4 linked regions of the Drosophila melanogaster genome follow. The protein of the gene in region 4 interacts with the protein of the main gene of each other region in a pairwise test. Each region holds a gene or a part of one and is shown on either strand. Other genes may lie near its edges. The genes, in order: CG17377, CG13700, Tsp39D and CG12679.

Region 1 (3,546 bases), on a different chromosome or scaffold from region 4:
TATAGAAATTGCTAAGTGTAATGAAATATATTAAAATGTTTATTATGTAGATAAAGAGATGCTTTTAAATGCTGTTACCTTTACACTACCAATTTTGTTATAGAACTAAAATAATAATCTTTCCAACTGACTTATAATTTGGAACCGTTCTTGGCGGCCAACAGGATATTGAGGACATCGTCGGCACAGCCCCAGCACAAAGTGACTCCACTGCCGCCATGTCCATAGTTGTGGATGAGGAGCTTGCGGCCGCGGCGCTCGGCTTCCAGTCGGAGTTGGGTGCGACCCGGCCGGAGACCTACCCAATCAAAGAGGCACTCCGTGTGCTCCAAACCAGGAATGTACCGCTGACAGCCATCGACGATCATCCGCCTGTCGTTCTGGCAGACTTTAGTGTTGTAGTCCCGCTCCTGATGGGTTCCGCCCAGGACAACACTTTCGGTGCTTAAATATTTCAGATATTGGAATACGAACAAATAAGTGTAACTGGCAAATACTCACTTGGGTATAATATAGTTGCCATCATCACTCTCGTCCAGCACGGCAGAGAAAATCCAGTTGGCCCTCACCCGGGAAACTTGGCCACGCACTGCGTACATTTGATCGTCGTTTAGTAGGGTCTTAGAGCCCAATCCGGAGCAATTGACTATCACATCGTACTCGGAATCGGCTACAAATGCATCCAGGTCTGTAATCCTTTTCCGGACAACAACACCTCCATTTCGGGTGAAACGCTTCATCAAATACGGCAGTAGCTTAATGGGCTCCGAGGTGTAGGTAACAAAGGATAAACCAGACCTAGATATGGTTTAGATATGTTCATATTTCAGCAAGTATAAATCTATGGATATCTATGAATATTCTTACGTGAACTTAACGCTGCGACCTTTATTGTAGGCAGCCAGCTGTTCCTTGGACAGATCCACTGCTCCATAGACAATGTCACGCCAAAAATCTTCGACCGTGTCCACCGTTGAGGTGCTCAGCCGAATGCAGGGTAGCAGACAAACGCCAGCCTCTCCGGCATCCTCGCTCAGCCAGATCTTCTCCAAAAATTGGTGCATGCTCTTCGACCACTTGCTGATGGAAAAAAAGTTATAAGTAAGAATATAATATAGTGACTAGTAAAACTTACTAGACTTTCGCCTGCGAAGTGCCGCCCAGAAGGTACGGACCCCAGAGACCAGCCGAACCATCTCCAGTTGTGTTAGGCGTGAAGTCCTCCGATATGATCGTCACCTTTATGGGTGTCTTTCCATCGTTCACATAGTGTTCCAGTATCTTAATGGCACTGGCAACACCATTAACCCCGGCACCGATAACTGCAATGTTAGGCATTGCTCCAATCCGATCAGCTTGGGAACTTGGAATGAACTGAAAAGAGGATCGCTTATCAGAATTGTAAGCAAATCGCATAATACAATTAGCTGATAACAGAGCTTTTAAAAAGAGCGAAAAAGCTTTTTGCATTTTGAATCTAATATTAACTCTTTCTTAAAATCTAGTAGGCTATAATTCCAACAAGTTGGCCTTGCATTTCATCTCAAACGGAACCGAATATGTGTGTTGGGATGTGTTGATCATTCCTCATTCGATACCAAACTCTCGGACCTTTCGTTTCGGCCAGCTTCTAAATTTTCCAAATTCCAAATTTTTCTTCCAAATTAATTTGACCAAATAGAGTAAGTTTATCCCGGGAAGACCATAGTATATTTTTAAATCCTTTGTCCTGTAGCGCTCGACGGGCTCAAGATGTGTGACGGATGTGGATCGTTGGAGGTGAGTAACCATATGCAACACACCACTGACCACTTGTGACCACTATGTATGCATCCTTTCCAGCCGCGCGGATGCCGCAGTCGGGAGTTACGATGCGGCATCATGTACACCACTTGCGACTGCGTGAAGCGGAACGGTCTGCAGGACAAGTGCCCGCGGTCCGCCTGCCAGGGCCGACCGGCCTGCCTGTGCTTCCCCTTCCCCACCTGCGGTCCGGCGGCATTCCCGCTGCGCTACGCTAACATGATGATGGGCGTGAACAATAAGCGTATGCGCTGTGCCGCCACTGGAGCACCAAATGGCGGTGCCGGATGCGGTGGACGCGTTGCCGGCGGCTGCTGTGGATGCGGTCCCTGCTGCTGTAATGTATCGCCCTGCTGTGGCCCGCACAGTCCTCCATGCTGTGGCTCGCACAGTCTTCCATGCTGTGGCCCGCACAGTCCTCCATGCGGAGCTCCGTCGCCCATTCCTTGCTCCTCTGCTCCGGGCATGTGCTGCCCTCCGCTGCCTGAAGGCGGCATTCCCGATCCGCGTGTCTGGAACTACTATAACGCACCTGTGACGTACCCATGTAAGTCCGGTCCAGGTCCGTCCACCTGTCCGCCTGTCTGTCCGTCTGCTTGTCCATCTGTCACGGCGCTGGGCGTCCGTAGAACGTAAAAACCATGGAGCGGAGGAGCACGAGGCATGCCCAAGGACTTTGCAGGTCACAGCATCTGGAACATGTGCTTGTGGTGACGCTTCATGTCCTTTTGCAGGAGCTTTATGCCCACTACGCTGATCCGTCAACAATGATAGCATGTCCTGGGCTTTGTGAGCGTAGAGGTAGGATCCATGGACCAAATGCTGTTGCCAGGCCCCAAATCCTTCATGACCCTTTGACCTCCATCCGCATCCTGTCGCGTGTAAGTAACTGCGATACCTTCTGCATTCACTGGTTTTACCTTTCTCATCCCACAGGTGGCTTATAAGTATTTCCTGGCAAGTGTTTCGATCGGATCCTGATATGGGCCACTTCCTTGGCGGGACATGTTGTCGTTTTGTGACGTAGTTTTGGTTGATAAAAAATTGAAGTTGGCTTAAATCAAGATTTAGCCAGCTGCGGAATACCCATTACTAGAAGGGCTCGAAGCTATTTGGGAACCCATGTGCAATTCGTCAGACGGTCTTGATTTAAACACAAAATCATATGTTGGTATCTGGAATCTATTTGGCATTAAATTACAAATAAACAAATTGAAATTATATTCTGTGTATTATGGGGGGTGTTAAAGGTTGCGTTTATTTTATGGCTGCACTTATGCTTCGAATATTTATATTTTAAGCCTGGCATTAGAATTGTAAATTAAGGTTGAAACCTTATGCCAAGGCCATAAAAATTTACGTTCATATGTCCCACAGATATTCTGATATTTATATTAATTAATATCAATTTTATTAGGGTGGGTTTCCGTGGCATTTAAGATTTAATTAATTAAAAGTTGAACTTTGCTGATAGTACTTTGTTTTAAACCCATTTTTTCGAGCTGGGAGAGCCATGTTCCAATCTTAGTGAGTTAGTTGACCTAAACAATTCGCGGGTCAAATATTTTGTTTTAGTGAATAAGGCAAATATAGATATATAATTATGTAGATCTGTGGCGATTTCATAATCTTTGCTAAGTCGAAGTAGGCCATGAAATTTCATAAAGTTGGCCATGACTTTTAAGCCAACCCGAACCGAAACTTGAACTGGATGTGCTGGGCCAAGGGAACAGCTAACCTCAT
Region 2 (4,726 bases), on a different chromosome or scaffold from region 4:
TTAAGCAATTTTGATACGAATAATCAAGAATAACAAAATTTGAAATGTATCTTATCATTATTATTGATTTTAGCAAAATTCAAAACATATTATTTTAATTTTGGCATTGCAAATTAAACAAGAAATATTGAAATTAATCACATGTAAAGATAGCATTTGTAAGAAATTAAAATTTTTATAAGACAAACAAGCAAAAAATAAATACAATTTTATAAAAAATTAAAAAATACTTTGAACGATTATTATTGTCCCTTTTCAGAAAAACATAAAGAATTTTACCAACACCATTGCCGAGATATATATATTTAATTACCTTTTATTTCGGAGGTGTAGAACTCTATTAAAATGTTTTTGAAAAATTATTCGAAGCGTTTTTAAAATATTTTAAAAATAAACTAAAACGTTTTTAAAATAAATTCAAAAGAATATTTATTTGTTTCACCAAAGTTTTTATAAAAAAATACGTCAAAATAATATGAAATTTTGTTTAATACACTCTTTTAATAACCGCTTATGAATTAAGCCTTTGTATTCCATTTTGGGCAATGAAATGGCAAAGGATAACCGTCCTGCCAGGAAAAGGCGGAGTAAGCAAACATTTAGCGATCGCTATCGTCAAAACCAATATGTCACCTTAAAAGGGAAAACACATTTTTGGTTAAGGGCAGACAGAGAATTTTCCCGTCGTGTCATGCCAGGCACACTCCACCCAAAAGGGTTAAAAAGCAAAGGTGACGCTTAACCGCAGATCCCAGTTTGTGCCACCAATGTCCAAGTCATCGGGCTCGGGGTCAAAGGGAAAAAGAGGAAAAGGGCAAAGGGGGTGTACCCTTTAGCAAGCCCGGAAACCCATTTAACCCCAGAAGTGGAAAAAGTGTAACATCTGTGGCAGCAAGCGATCAGCGGCGCCTGATAAGTTCGCCAGTCAAATAATAATTATGCAAACATTTCGGGCCGCTAATTTGCCGCCTATCTTAATTTAAATCGCTCAAAAGCGCACTGGAACCAGCGCACAAGAAATTGTTTAATTGTCGTGACATGACAATAAGCGACCTGGAAATTAGGGTCCTTCGCTATCCTTTTTTTTCGCGTGTGGCTTGATTTTTGGCGATGATAAGCAAGGGGGAAATTATAGGGTATGCAAATGCTCGCATAGTGTCAGTCGCGTGTCCTGGATCAAGTTTTCATTCGGGTTCGTTTTCCACTCAAATTCCTTCTTAGCGCCTGCAATTATGCTCGGCGGAGAGACAGTTTATGATAACATATTTGTAGTTAATTTAGTTAAATTAGTGCCACATATGTTAAACTGATCTGAGATAGCCAGGTGGGAGCTGCAAATGGGTGAAAATTCCATCGAGTCACAGGTTGCTGGCAAACTGCTTTCGATTGGGTCCACACTCAAATATTTCAATAGTTAAAACCACGGGTAATAGACATTTAAAAAGAAAAAAGAAAGCAATATAAAAGCAAATAAGTGTAATCTAGTTAACTTAAATACATATAGTCAAGTCATCTAAATATGCTGTTTCCCTTTTGTATTGCAGACTGGATAGATAGAGCTTCAAAAAATTGTTCGGTGTTCTTTTTTAATTAAACCTTAAAACGTTTATTTCAGTTGATTTTGAGAAAGTTGTTCTATAAAAGCATAAACAAAGTATTCAATGAGAAGAGTGTAAATAAACTTTAAGAAATTATTATTATTCCTTAAGGGAAGCAAAATTCCAAAGCATTTACTTAGGCATGAGCTAGATACCTTAGTGGTGTCATACCGCAAAGCTCGACCAGGATATCCATCTTATAATCATAATGAACACTTCGGATAAGAATGACAATGATAATGATTCCTTGGGCGACGAGCAGGATCAGGAAGTCCGCCAAATACTAGATTCAATCGAAAGCTTCGATGACGTCTGCAAAACTTTCAAGTCGAAAAGTGTTCAAGAATTAAACGCTCAAAAGACAAGTGAAGTTCCCAAATCTGACCAGGAAAAGGTTCACACGTCATCGTCGAAATACAATTCTACTCCCCAGACAGAAAAACTTACTTCTGAGGCAGATCCAGATAGCGAATACACACGTTTTCTGAAGCAAATGAGCGTTCGTTAGTAAGTTAAGTTATTTTAACAATAATTTTAATTTAATTTTCTTACTCATATGCATCTTAGCTCAGAGTTTCGCATTGCCTCGGGTCAAGTAGTTCAACAAAAGGGTCAGACAATGGACTACCGAGACTATAACTATAGCGAATGTAAATATTGAGTTTCTAATTTCTAAAATATTTTTGGAAATTTATTGATCTTTTTATTTCCTGCTATTGTAGATCCAGTATGTCAACCTTCTTGTAGCTGGCAATCCTTTAACCCAATGACTCAGGACTCGACATCTGGACAAAGAGAGATGGAATCGTCATCATCTAGTTCGCCCGGGCAGATGTGCCAAAATCAATACGGCTATGGTCAATCTCTTCCGGAAGCCGGATCAAGATCGGACGAGACCATTGTCAACGATCCCAGTACTACCAGTTCAGCTCCATGTGAGAGTGAGAGTCCTTGCTGCTCCAAAGAGACTTGTGGCTGTTGCTGTGATATCGCTTCTAGTCAGCAATCTGGATGCTCCCAATGGGATCAGACTTATCCTGGCCAGCAACAGCACATTTTTCCTGTTCCAATGGGTGTGGATCCGAGTACCGGGTTTCCCATCTACTGCTACTCTACCCCACTAAATTATCAAGGCAATGCTATGTACTCAATGCCAGGCATGCAAATGGATGAAAGTCAAAGGGGAGGCGGTGGCCAGAACAACCGGGAAACTGGTACGAAATGTCAAACTTCATCAGAATCTTCAGAGGAAAATTGTCATTCAAATGGGGATAGTGCTTCATTTCATCAAAGTCCTAACAATTTGGACATGGAGGCCTTTATGCAAAAGTACCAGAAGAGTGTTCAGCAATGCTATGCCACTGCACAACAAGGTAAGCATGATAAATAAGCAACCGTGGATGCAATGTAATATGCCGAATTTTAGGAATTCAACAATCATTTGCTAATGCTCAGAGTCAGCCGTATTTCAATAACTTTGCGCAGGGAACTCAACAGTTTTATAACAATGGTACTGAGGGTAAACATGAATTCGTAATCCTAAAACAATTTGACCACATTTTCATCATTTAAGCAGGTACGCGTTCAATGTTTGCCGGATGCAATCAAGGTAAGTTTTAGCACTCAGTAATTAACTCTTCATCTTATTTTAATAATATCCAACTGTTTTAAAATATATTAATTATTTTAAGCCATTCAAATAGGTATGCATGAAATGTTAGGCAGCCCCAATCAAGGTATGCTTAATTAAATTATTCACTTTCATAAATGTCCTAATGACATTCTATCGTTTTAACTATTGAATTATTTCCGAAAACCAACATCTCTCAGATTGTCAAGGCATGCAACAGGCTTTCAGTTCTTCTTTCGGTGCTCAACAATATTGTAGCAATGATGGTCTAGGTACTTACTTAGCATACCAAATTTTCAAATGGTTACCGATTTTCGTTTAGGTGCTCAACAAATCTTTTCCTCATTGATGGGAATGCCTTCCCCTAACTGGTTTGCCAGTAACACTGGATTTATGAGCGACTCTCTGCAGAACCACACAGTATACTCCTCAGACTACAAACCCTTTTCCAACGATGGCAACCACTTTAACCACTTCCCCAATGGGGGCATGGACATGGGCTTGGCCACCGAACCCTGTAACATCTACGGTCCAGCTGGATCCCCTGGCCTGGTTGAGATGGGCAACGGTGGTCAGGTCTATGGCATGGGTGGTGCCTGCGACATGAATATGAGCGCTTACCCTCTCAGTCAAATGAGGTAAGAAATATTCAAAATACTAAACCATGCAATATAACTATTTGTTTTTACCTGCGTCAGTTATTCAAGTCCCTATTCCTACGATATGCCTTGTTCCACACTTAACTATAATCCAGCATCAGGTATTCCTATGGCTACTCCTCAAATGCAAGCTAGTCATATAAGTAGTGGAAATCCAGGTTTGTAACGAATAATTGTTGTATGTTTTTACAATATTCGCGATCAACAGTGCAACAGGGCTGAATCGGAAGGAACCCCGAGAGTGAGATGGTGGAATTGATACAATAATTATATATATTATATTATAATACTCTTAAACAATAAAGGCAACCAAAAAAAGAAATATAACAACTTCCTTTTCAATTTATAATCTTAGAAAACAATGTTGAGTTAATAAAAGTTAATAAAACTTAAAATAAGTTCAAGAACAAGGTATTGATCATTACTTAAAACGTTTCATTACTATGACTGCTGAAGATGAAGACTTTGTCGAGCAAGTTTCTCAATAGAACTTTTTTGCAGTCCAGCAATGGTAATGACTCACAGTAGGAATGTTCCACCTTCCCAGATCCTGAACTTCGCATGGCATGCACTTTAAGTCAAAGCTAATTACAGTGAGCTGGTCTATTGATTTTAGCAGTAAAGTACACTAACCCGTGAGGGAACCCTCGCATTGGACAAACAAACGGGCGACATCAGTGACCCAGTTTCGTGCAAAAACCAAGTCGGAAATGTGGCAAGCTGAAAAAGGGCCAGGCAAACAACGCCCCCAAATGCGAAAGGCCTGTATGTGGAGCGAAAGTGAAACGCAATATGGCCACAAACGACCACATTCGTTTAAGAGGGGATAGGAGTATCTG
Region 3 (4,872 bases), on a different chromosome or scaffold from region 4:
AGAAACGTTTTCCCAGTGCTGTAAATTATATGAGAAGCCTATTTTGAAGAGCATTTGCTTAGTACAAGTGAAGAAAAGTATATGAATATTTAAATAAGTAATGATAAAAATAACAAATTCATAATTATATGGAATCTGTAATATGTATACATAATATAATAATATAATATGTATACATTCTCACGTTTAAAGCAAAGATTATTTAATAAAGTAAAGAATAAACCGGAACTCCAACACTTTTGAAAAATTCTGTGATAATTCTTCATATTTTTATTAGTCTTGTAAATTACTATGGATTTGCCAAAAAACTTTTTGCCTCGCCTACTTCAACGTCCAAAGACCGCCCAAAACTGCCACACCTACACTTTTAAAATATTTTTAGAATTTTCCGTTTTATTATTTGTCTTGCCAAGTTTTATCGGTATACAAAACAATGTGGCCACGACCCTTCTTTCACCTACAAAACGAACAAAACTGTCACGCCAATAATTTTTAAATTTTTTCTCATTTTATTCACCAAAATCAATCGATATCCTGGAAAAATTATAAAATTTGGCGATCGAATTTCCACTAGCCGAGTAAAGGGTATCTGATGAGCGGGAAATCGAGTATAACATTTTCTCTTGTTTACATATATCCTTTTACACTTTTACCACTTTTCATCCCCAAGCATCAAATTTTTCAAAGTCCTGGTATGAATACAGAAAAAATCCTATGATATACTCTTTTAATGGGCAAAATGTATTTATAATATCATTAGGTTTTTAATTTAAAACCATTCAACAATGGTTCACTTCTATTTTACCCATTACTCGTAGAGTAAATGGGTATACAATATTGGTTGAAAAGTATGTAACAGGCAGAAGGAAGCGTTTCCGACTATATAATTTATATATATTCTTGATCAAGATCAAAAGCCGAGTTGATCTAGCCATGTCCGTGTTGCCACGCCCACAAGAATCACAAAATTTCCAAGCCCACGTGTAACGTGTAACGTGTAATATAACATAAACCGATTCCACCTTATTCTTGCCAAGAAGGTTGGTTTAAGGGCTAAATCAAAAGCAAAAGGAGAGCTAAAACACGGTGGAAATTTTTTAAAGCGTTGTTGAGTAGAGAACGTGCTAAGTTATATATATTTCATAAACCACCGCGAAAGCGAAGAGGATTTATCTAATGGGAGGAAGGTATATATATCATGTAAATGTTCCTGATTCTCTTTTCTTGATCGGAATCTCCAGACGACTCTATATGCCTATGTCCGACTGCATTCGTTTTCTTGGCATTTCATTTGATGTCATCAGGGACTTATGTATATGCAAAAATTGAATACAATCCTGTTTTAATTTTCACTACAAACATAGTTTTATGACAGTAATCGAATCTCCTTTTAGCTAAACTTAACATTGCTTCTTTTATAATCAATCTGGGTTATACAATTTTTATCTACGATTCGAATCCAGTCTACTTTAGTAAAAAATTATGGCAACTCCCGACTTCTGTATACTGCAGTATGGCAGCTCCCGAACTGTGTAGATGTTGGTATGGCAACTCAAAATCACCTGCAATTGCTACTGAACATTCATATTAAACATAATTACGAAAAGACCAACATTAAAATAGCGTTTGTATTCGGCAATACAAGATTTATTGCTGAGAGGGGAAAAAGCGGTTCTAGCATCAACACGTAATAAAAAGAAAATTAACCAAAATTGATTTTCTTGAAATAATGTTTCCAGCACCGGGATAAGATAACAAATAGTGGAGTCATTCAGCAATCGTTGATTGGCGTGAGGTATCGATGACCATGCGCTATCGATACCTCCGTTGGAATTATCACATCGTAGCTCTACTGTTTGTCAAGTCTCACTTGAAAACATCCATCGAAAGTGCTGTTGTTCTGATTAGAGCGCGGGTGCGAGTTAATCAAGCGAACCGTTGCGTCCTGGTCCTAAATTTGAAAGGTATAAATATTTGGGTGAAACCAATCAGCTGCAATAGATGATGCGGTCCCTTGCGCCATACAAATTGGTATTAGTATTGCCCTAGAGGAGTAATTGTGTGTATGTATGTTGGTGGGAGAGTGGAAAGTGGTTTAAGTGAGGGATGCGACCGAACAATATGCACTTCTCCCTGTGCTACCTGAGATCTAGAGTGTGGAGAGTGATTCTGTTGACTAGTTTGCGTGCTTGCGGCAAGCAGGAGCTGCGGTCCGGTGTGATACATGCCTCGCGAAGTTGCTCCAAGTCGTAGTGGATGGTGCTCCAGGTGCTGGGATGCGCCTAATTGGAGATACACAAACGGTCAGTCAAAAGCTCGTGAAGTGTGGGTAATGCCTATATATATCCGCCACCCGCCTACAAGCGGGTTCCGGAAGTAGGCGACGGCACGCAACCATCAACCAGAAGCATCATTATGCACACATGCAGCTGGACATGGGGAAATCCTCTCAATAAAGCCGCTAGGCGGACATTGATTCATATGTTAATACACGTGTATGAATATGACAATTGGTGAGAGCGGGAACCACCAGTTACGCACAGTGGCCAGATCGCACTAGCGCACTATTCGTCAAGGAGTCAGGATTTGGTTGTCGTCTCAAATAAATAGCTAACTTTGTTAGAGATAAATGGTTAGGTTTAATCAAACTAATCGTTTAATTTCAAGGTAACATAAACTCATATTTTGCTTAAACTAAAAACGGTTTAATATAAATAAGTCTGACAGGACCGTAAAACTGCTCTCCAAATTCGGTCGTCTGGTACCTGGGCGCAAATCAATTAAGGAACTATTAACTCAGCAATGGGAACACTACCAAACACTGTACAATGTAGTAGCAATATTAAATATAATAATATAATAATAAACATGGATGCTTGCTTCTGCAAGCTAAAGTATTTAAAAAGTATTAGAAATGGTCGGTAATCGTAGAGTAAGAATTCACTTAAAAGGATGTTACAGGTAGAAGAACGCTTTTTCCACCTTATAAAGTATTTCTGTATGTATTAACACTTAACACATACGTATATCCAAACTGGTTTATTACGCAGTACTAAGAAATATACGGCTGACGTGTGTATTTTACCCTACATTGTCATCCGTGTGGCAGGTGTAGCCACTTTTTACGCAGCTGACACTATTTCTAAGCTATCGATTTTGTCTTCTATTCCTTTCCCATTGCTTTGAATGCCGATACTTGGCCTATTGCTGGTGGTGGGGTGGCACTAATAATTTAAAAACCGACCTATTTCAGTGCAGAGTTCAAACTCATTCAAACTACACAACTATTACAGCAAGCGCAATATACATACATATGTATGTATGTACATATGTATTCCTGTCCTTCCTAGTTTTCGTTCTCCATGTCCGTCCGTATGAAGGTGGAGATCTGAGGAACTATAAAACCTACAATATTGAGATTAAGCATATAGATTTCAGAGGCATAGTTTGTTTACTCATGTTGCTACGCCCACAAACCCTGCCAAAGCTGCCACGCCCACACCATTGGAAAATGTGTTGATATTTATATATCCGTTACTCGTAGAGTCAAAGGTTATGATCAGGATCAATAGCCGAGTCTATATGTCCCTGTCTGTCTGCTCGAATGTCTATGCGTCCATATGAACGCCGAGATCTCAAAAACTATAAAAGCTAGAAGGTTGAGATTAAGCATAAAGATTCTAGAGACATAGGCGCAGTGCAAGTTTATTTCAAATCACCCAAAACCGGTACGCCCACTGTTTGTTTTGATATATTTTCCTATTTTTATACCCGTTACTCAGATTAAAAGGTGATACTAGATTCGTTGAAAAGTGTTTCCGACCAAATCAAGTATATATATCCTTGATCAGGATCCATAGCCGAGTCAATCTGGACATGAAAGTCGAGACCTCAGGAACTATAAAAGCTAAAAGGCATACAGATTCTAGAAACATAGACGGAGCGCAAGTTTGACCCATGTTGCCACACTCACTCTAACGCCACGCCTACACTTTTGAAAAATGTGTTGATATTTGTTCACATATGTATTAGTCTTGTAAATTTTATCGATTTTGCCAAAAACGTTTTTGCCACGCCCACTCAAACCGCACAACCGGTCACGCCCACACTTTTGAACAATTTTTAAATTTTTTTTCATTTTATTTCCCAATATCTCTTGATATCCCAAAATAAATGATACTTTCGCGTTCTCATTCACACTAGCTGAGTAACGGGTATCTGATAGTCGGGGAACTCGACTATTCTCGCATTCTCTCTTGTTAGTTTTGTAAATTTCTGTCGATTTGATAAAAAACTTTTTGCAATGCCCACTCTAACGCACAAAACCCGCCGAATCCTGTCGCGAACCCACTTTTGGAAAATATTTCGATCTTTTTTCATATTTTTAATAGTCTTTTCTTTCCAAATTCTATCGATATGCCAACAAGGATGTTAAATGCTTAAGCTGAGTAACGGGTATCTGATATTCGAGGAACTCGTTCATTCTTGCTTTTTAAATTCATTTAACAGTTTTTTAATGCAAAATTTGTTTAAATTAATGTATTTTGTATATACTCGTAATAGTTGACATTGTAAAGGTTCGGTAAAGTTGTACATTGAAATAACTCCGGAAAAAAGTTTTTAAAACTTCTTCAATACAGGAAATCCATATCGTTAGCCGGGAATAGCTTACACATACAGAATAACATACAGGAATAATGAAAAGACCGGTGTGTTTGAATCTTGTTCTATGATTATCACTTTAACAGAGTACGGATAAAAATGAATACTAAACGTATACGAGCTTAAATAGCGTTAGGCAGTTGGTTTATTTTTCTTCGCGTCTTATAGCATGTAGTATGTGCATATATCGAGGGTACACTGTACCTATAA
Region 4 (3,238 bases):
AGGAAGCGGGCCACACCACCCCGCTTCCGTGGCCTTGCCTTGCCTTGCCTTGCTTATGCAATTTGGTATGTGTTTCCCAAGAAACCTTTGTTGCATTATTGCCGCAATTTGCTGAAGTGGTGACGTGAGAGCCATCACAGTGCTGCGTCCACGAATATTGCCCCGTCCCTTTCCTTCTCTGCCCTCCTGAGTCCCTCGTCCTGAGACCCCAGTCCTTCGTCCCTCGTCCGTCGTCCGTCGTCCTTCGGCCCTTGAACCGCGTCTTTTTCGCGCTGCCCCTTCAGCCAGACAGCGAACAAATAACAACTAAGTTGGCAATTTGAAGTCGCGCGAGTGAGTGAGGCTAGTTAGCCGCAGCACACCGAAGTCTGTATACCCTTGACATGGTTTATGGCTTATATAGTAGTGCTATATTGCTTATTCCTTTCTCATTGTAGATTTGTAATTCATATCCCCAAACTACAAATCCCTAGTGCCTTGTATTCAATGATAGTTGGCTCAACCAATTTCAAATGCTGATTCATCATCTTGGCTTTATTTCGCGAACCGATCAAATTTAAGTTTTAGCAATTAGCCCTCAGTGAGTGCGTAGGTCATAAGGGCCAGGATGCCGGTGTTTCCCAGAGTCTCTACAACGTTGCTAAGGCCCTCGTTGCAGCTATCGACAATTGCACCGCCGTATCTGGCGAGGAGCGCGGTGGCAGCCACACCGAAGTAGATATGGTTGCCGTCCTTGATGGCCAGATACAACGTGGAGCCGATGTTGCCCAACAGAGCGAGGTCCATCAGCGTCTCCGTGGAGCTGTCCCAGTCCTCGCTGATCTTGCCGATCATGTCGTAGAACAGTGGAATCAACGACAGGCCGTGCACCAGCGCCACTCCCGACTGATCGGATACCAGGTAGAACTCGATGTTCGCCAGTGGCAGCGGGATAACCTCCAGTATGATGGCTGAGATCATAAAGGTGCGTCCGCACTCGTCGGGCTCGTTGGCAAAGGAGCGAACCACGCCCAGCACTCCGTGGACCAGGCTGAAGGATGCCGCCAGGAAGGCATACGGATGGTCCGCCGGGGTCAGTGAGGTCATCGTGTAAATGCAGGCCAAGATCAGCAGCAGATTGACCAGTGCCCCCACCACATGCATTTTCGGCGCTTCTCTTCGTTCCTTCGAGAATTCTATCGATTCTGTCAGTCTGGTATCACGATATGCGATTTCACTTATTTGTTACGAACACAGGAACTAAAAATTTTGAAAGTTGCTACCTTGAGACTGGGGTCTGGAATGACTGAATCCAAATGACTCCCACTGGCAGAACATTGAAGACCGAGTCCAGGCCAACTCTGTTTAATCGATTTATCAACTCAGTTTTGCTAGATAAATGTTTTGAGATTTAAAATGGCCATATCATAAGCAATACACAAATGTATCGGGTTCTCGTTCTTATTCAAATACTTATACCTTTTACCTTTTACGACATACAACATGAGAATTAAAATGGCTACAAGGACTAACAATCCTCATTATGAAGTATGCTTGCATACCCTTCCTTCGTTGCAATCATTCGTTGTCTAATCCAAACCCACTTCAAATCCCGAAGTTCCTGAACCAAATATAACCAATAACCAAGCCAGTGCAGCCAGTATGCCAAGGGGACAAAGGCTGCTCATCGCCAAAGTGGCTAACGTTGGCCACCTCAGATTACGACCAGGGATGGATGTCGGCAGGGTCACTGAGTCACTCCCGGCTGAGTGGTTAGGGAGGCAGCATCAGAACATCGATCACAACACCTGAACGAACGCAGTATATAAATAACCAATCTGGATTTTGATCCGCACAAAGGACGGGAGTGGTAACCCCCAAAATCCCGAGCGCCCTTTTCGGGGCTCCAACGCTTCAATAAAACTGCAAAGTGCCAATTACAAAAATAACAAGTTAGCCCCAAAACTTATGTTGGCTTTCCGACTTGCCGTTGTTTCTTTTGCTTTTTTCCTTTATTTGCCCCGATGCATTATTAAGTTTATACCAAGAAATTTCCCGCACTGCATTGGACGTGTGTGTGTGGTTGTGTGTGTGTGAGAGAGAGTGGCATTTAGCTGGCAAGGACATTTTCATGGTTTTCCAGTCAGAGAACTGCAAGGGTGGCACTTTTTTACCACTCGACTCACACCCTACAATTTTGTGTGCGGGTGCTACTCGCCACGCACATCGCGGGTACTTACAAACACACAGTATAAATCTGAACATGCAGACAAGACACCCCGTTGTGTGCGCACCCGAATCAATACGGTGTTTTGCGTCGCGGGTGCCGCTCACACAGTGCCTAAAAAGGGATGAGTGAGAAAAACACTTGTGGGTATACCGTTAAACACATGGGTGTTTCCAAAAATACTCGGGTGTTTCCAAAAATACTCGAGTGGTCTCGTAGGTAGTCGAGTCAAATGGCGCCATACATAATGATTGTTGAGTTCTTGTGTCTTTGGTCCAGTGTCTCGGCTGTTAATTGCCCCTTTTTTGTTTTTTACGATGCAATTACTAGCTTGTTAGGATTCAGTATTATTTGGAAGCCAAAGGAAAAGGTCACAATAATGGCAGAAGCGGCTGATTTCGTTAAAAATAAAATTAACAATGGAACATACTCAGTTGCCAATAAACATAAAGGAAAAAGTGTTATTTGGAGCATTTTATGTGACATTTTAAAGGAAGATGAAACTGTTCTGGACGGATGGCTGTTCTGCAGGCAATGCCAGAAAGTGCTCAAATTTTTACACAAAAACACCTCCAATTTATCCCGCCATAAATGTTGTCTAACATTAAGACGACCAACGGAATTAAAAATTGTTTCGGAAAACGACAAGAAAGTAGCTATTGAAAAATGCACCCAATGGGTTGTCCAAGATTGTCGGCCGTTTTCTGCAGTAACCGGAGCCGGATTTAAAAATTTGGTGAAGTTTTTCCTACAAATCGGCGCTATCTATGGGGAACAGGTAGACGTCGATGACTTACTACCTGATCCAACAACATTAAGTCCTTATATTTAATAGATACTTTTTAAGCCCACTATGTTTTTATTATTTAGATTGAGACATTAAAAAACGTAAAAATCAACAAATGCCGTCTTTAATTGCAATTACTTTATGTGTTTGAAATGGGAGGCACCCATTGAGTCCATCAAAGAGCAAAGACATGAGCACAAAAATTTTCTTGGGTATTCCCTTTTACCCTTCATTTCTTATACCCG

Evidence for each region.
Region 1: the proteins of CG12679 (region 4) and CG17377 interact in a two-hybrid assay, tested with the Drosophila melanogaster proteins (one large-scale study listed by BioGRID).
Region 2: the proteins of CG12679 (region 4) and CG13700 interact in a two-hybrid assay, tested with the Drosophila melanogaster proteins (one large-scale study listed by BioGRID).
Region 3: the proteins of CG12679 (region 4) and Tsp39D interact in a two-hybrid assay, tested with the Drosophila melanogaster proteins (one large-scale study listed by BioGRID).

Annotation. Positions count from the first base shown.
Region 1 is NT_033779.5:6,800,844-6,804,389, reverse strand, and holds CG17377 (uncharacterized protein), read left to right. Parts: upstream 1-1,600; 5' UTR 1,601-1,682; intron 1,683-1,735; 5' UTR 1,736-1,752; coding exon 1,753-1,779; intron 1,780-1,842; coding exon 1,843-2,439; 3' UTR 2,440-2,537; coding exon of another isoform or gene 2,538-2,539; 3' UTR 2,540-2,682; exon of another isoform or gene 2,683-2,684; intron 2,685-2,739; coding exon of another isoform or gene 2,740-2,750; 3' UTR 2,751-3,012; downstream 3,013-3,546. Other genes in the region: Daao2 (D-amino acid oxidase 2), read right to left, coding at 132-444, 502-798, 868-1,080, 1,136-1,338.
Region 2 is NT_037436.4:18,298,214-18,302,939, reverse strand, and holds CG13700 (uncharacterized protein), read left to right. Parts: upstream 1-1,679; 5' UTR 1,680-1,806; coding exon 1,807-2,105; intron 2,106-2,165; coding exon 2,166-2,248; intron 2,249-2,320; coding exon 2,321-2,971; intron 2,972-3,024; coding exon 3,025-3,117; intron 3,118-3,171; coding exon 3,172-3,207; intron 3,208-3,289; coding exon 3,290-3,334; intron 3,335-3,428; coding exon 3,429-3,500; intron 3,501-3,550; coding exon 3,551-3,866; intron 3,867-3,926; coding exon 3,927-4,045; intron 4,046-4,095; coding exon 4,096-4,109; 3' UTR 4,110-4,198; downstream 4,199-4,726.
Region 3 is NT_033779.5:21,342,773-21,347,644, forward strand, and holds the start of Tsp39D (tetraspanin 39D), read left to right. Parts: upstream 1-1,834; 5' UTR 1,835-1,964; intron 1,965-4,872.
Region 4 is NC_004354.4:20,375,250-20,378,487, forward strand, and holds CG12679 (uncharacterized protein), read right to left. Parts: upstream 1,274-3,238; 5' UTR 1,144-1,273; coding exon 571-1,143; 3' UTR 515-570; downstream 1-514.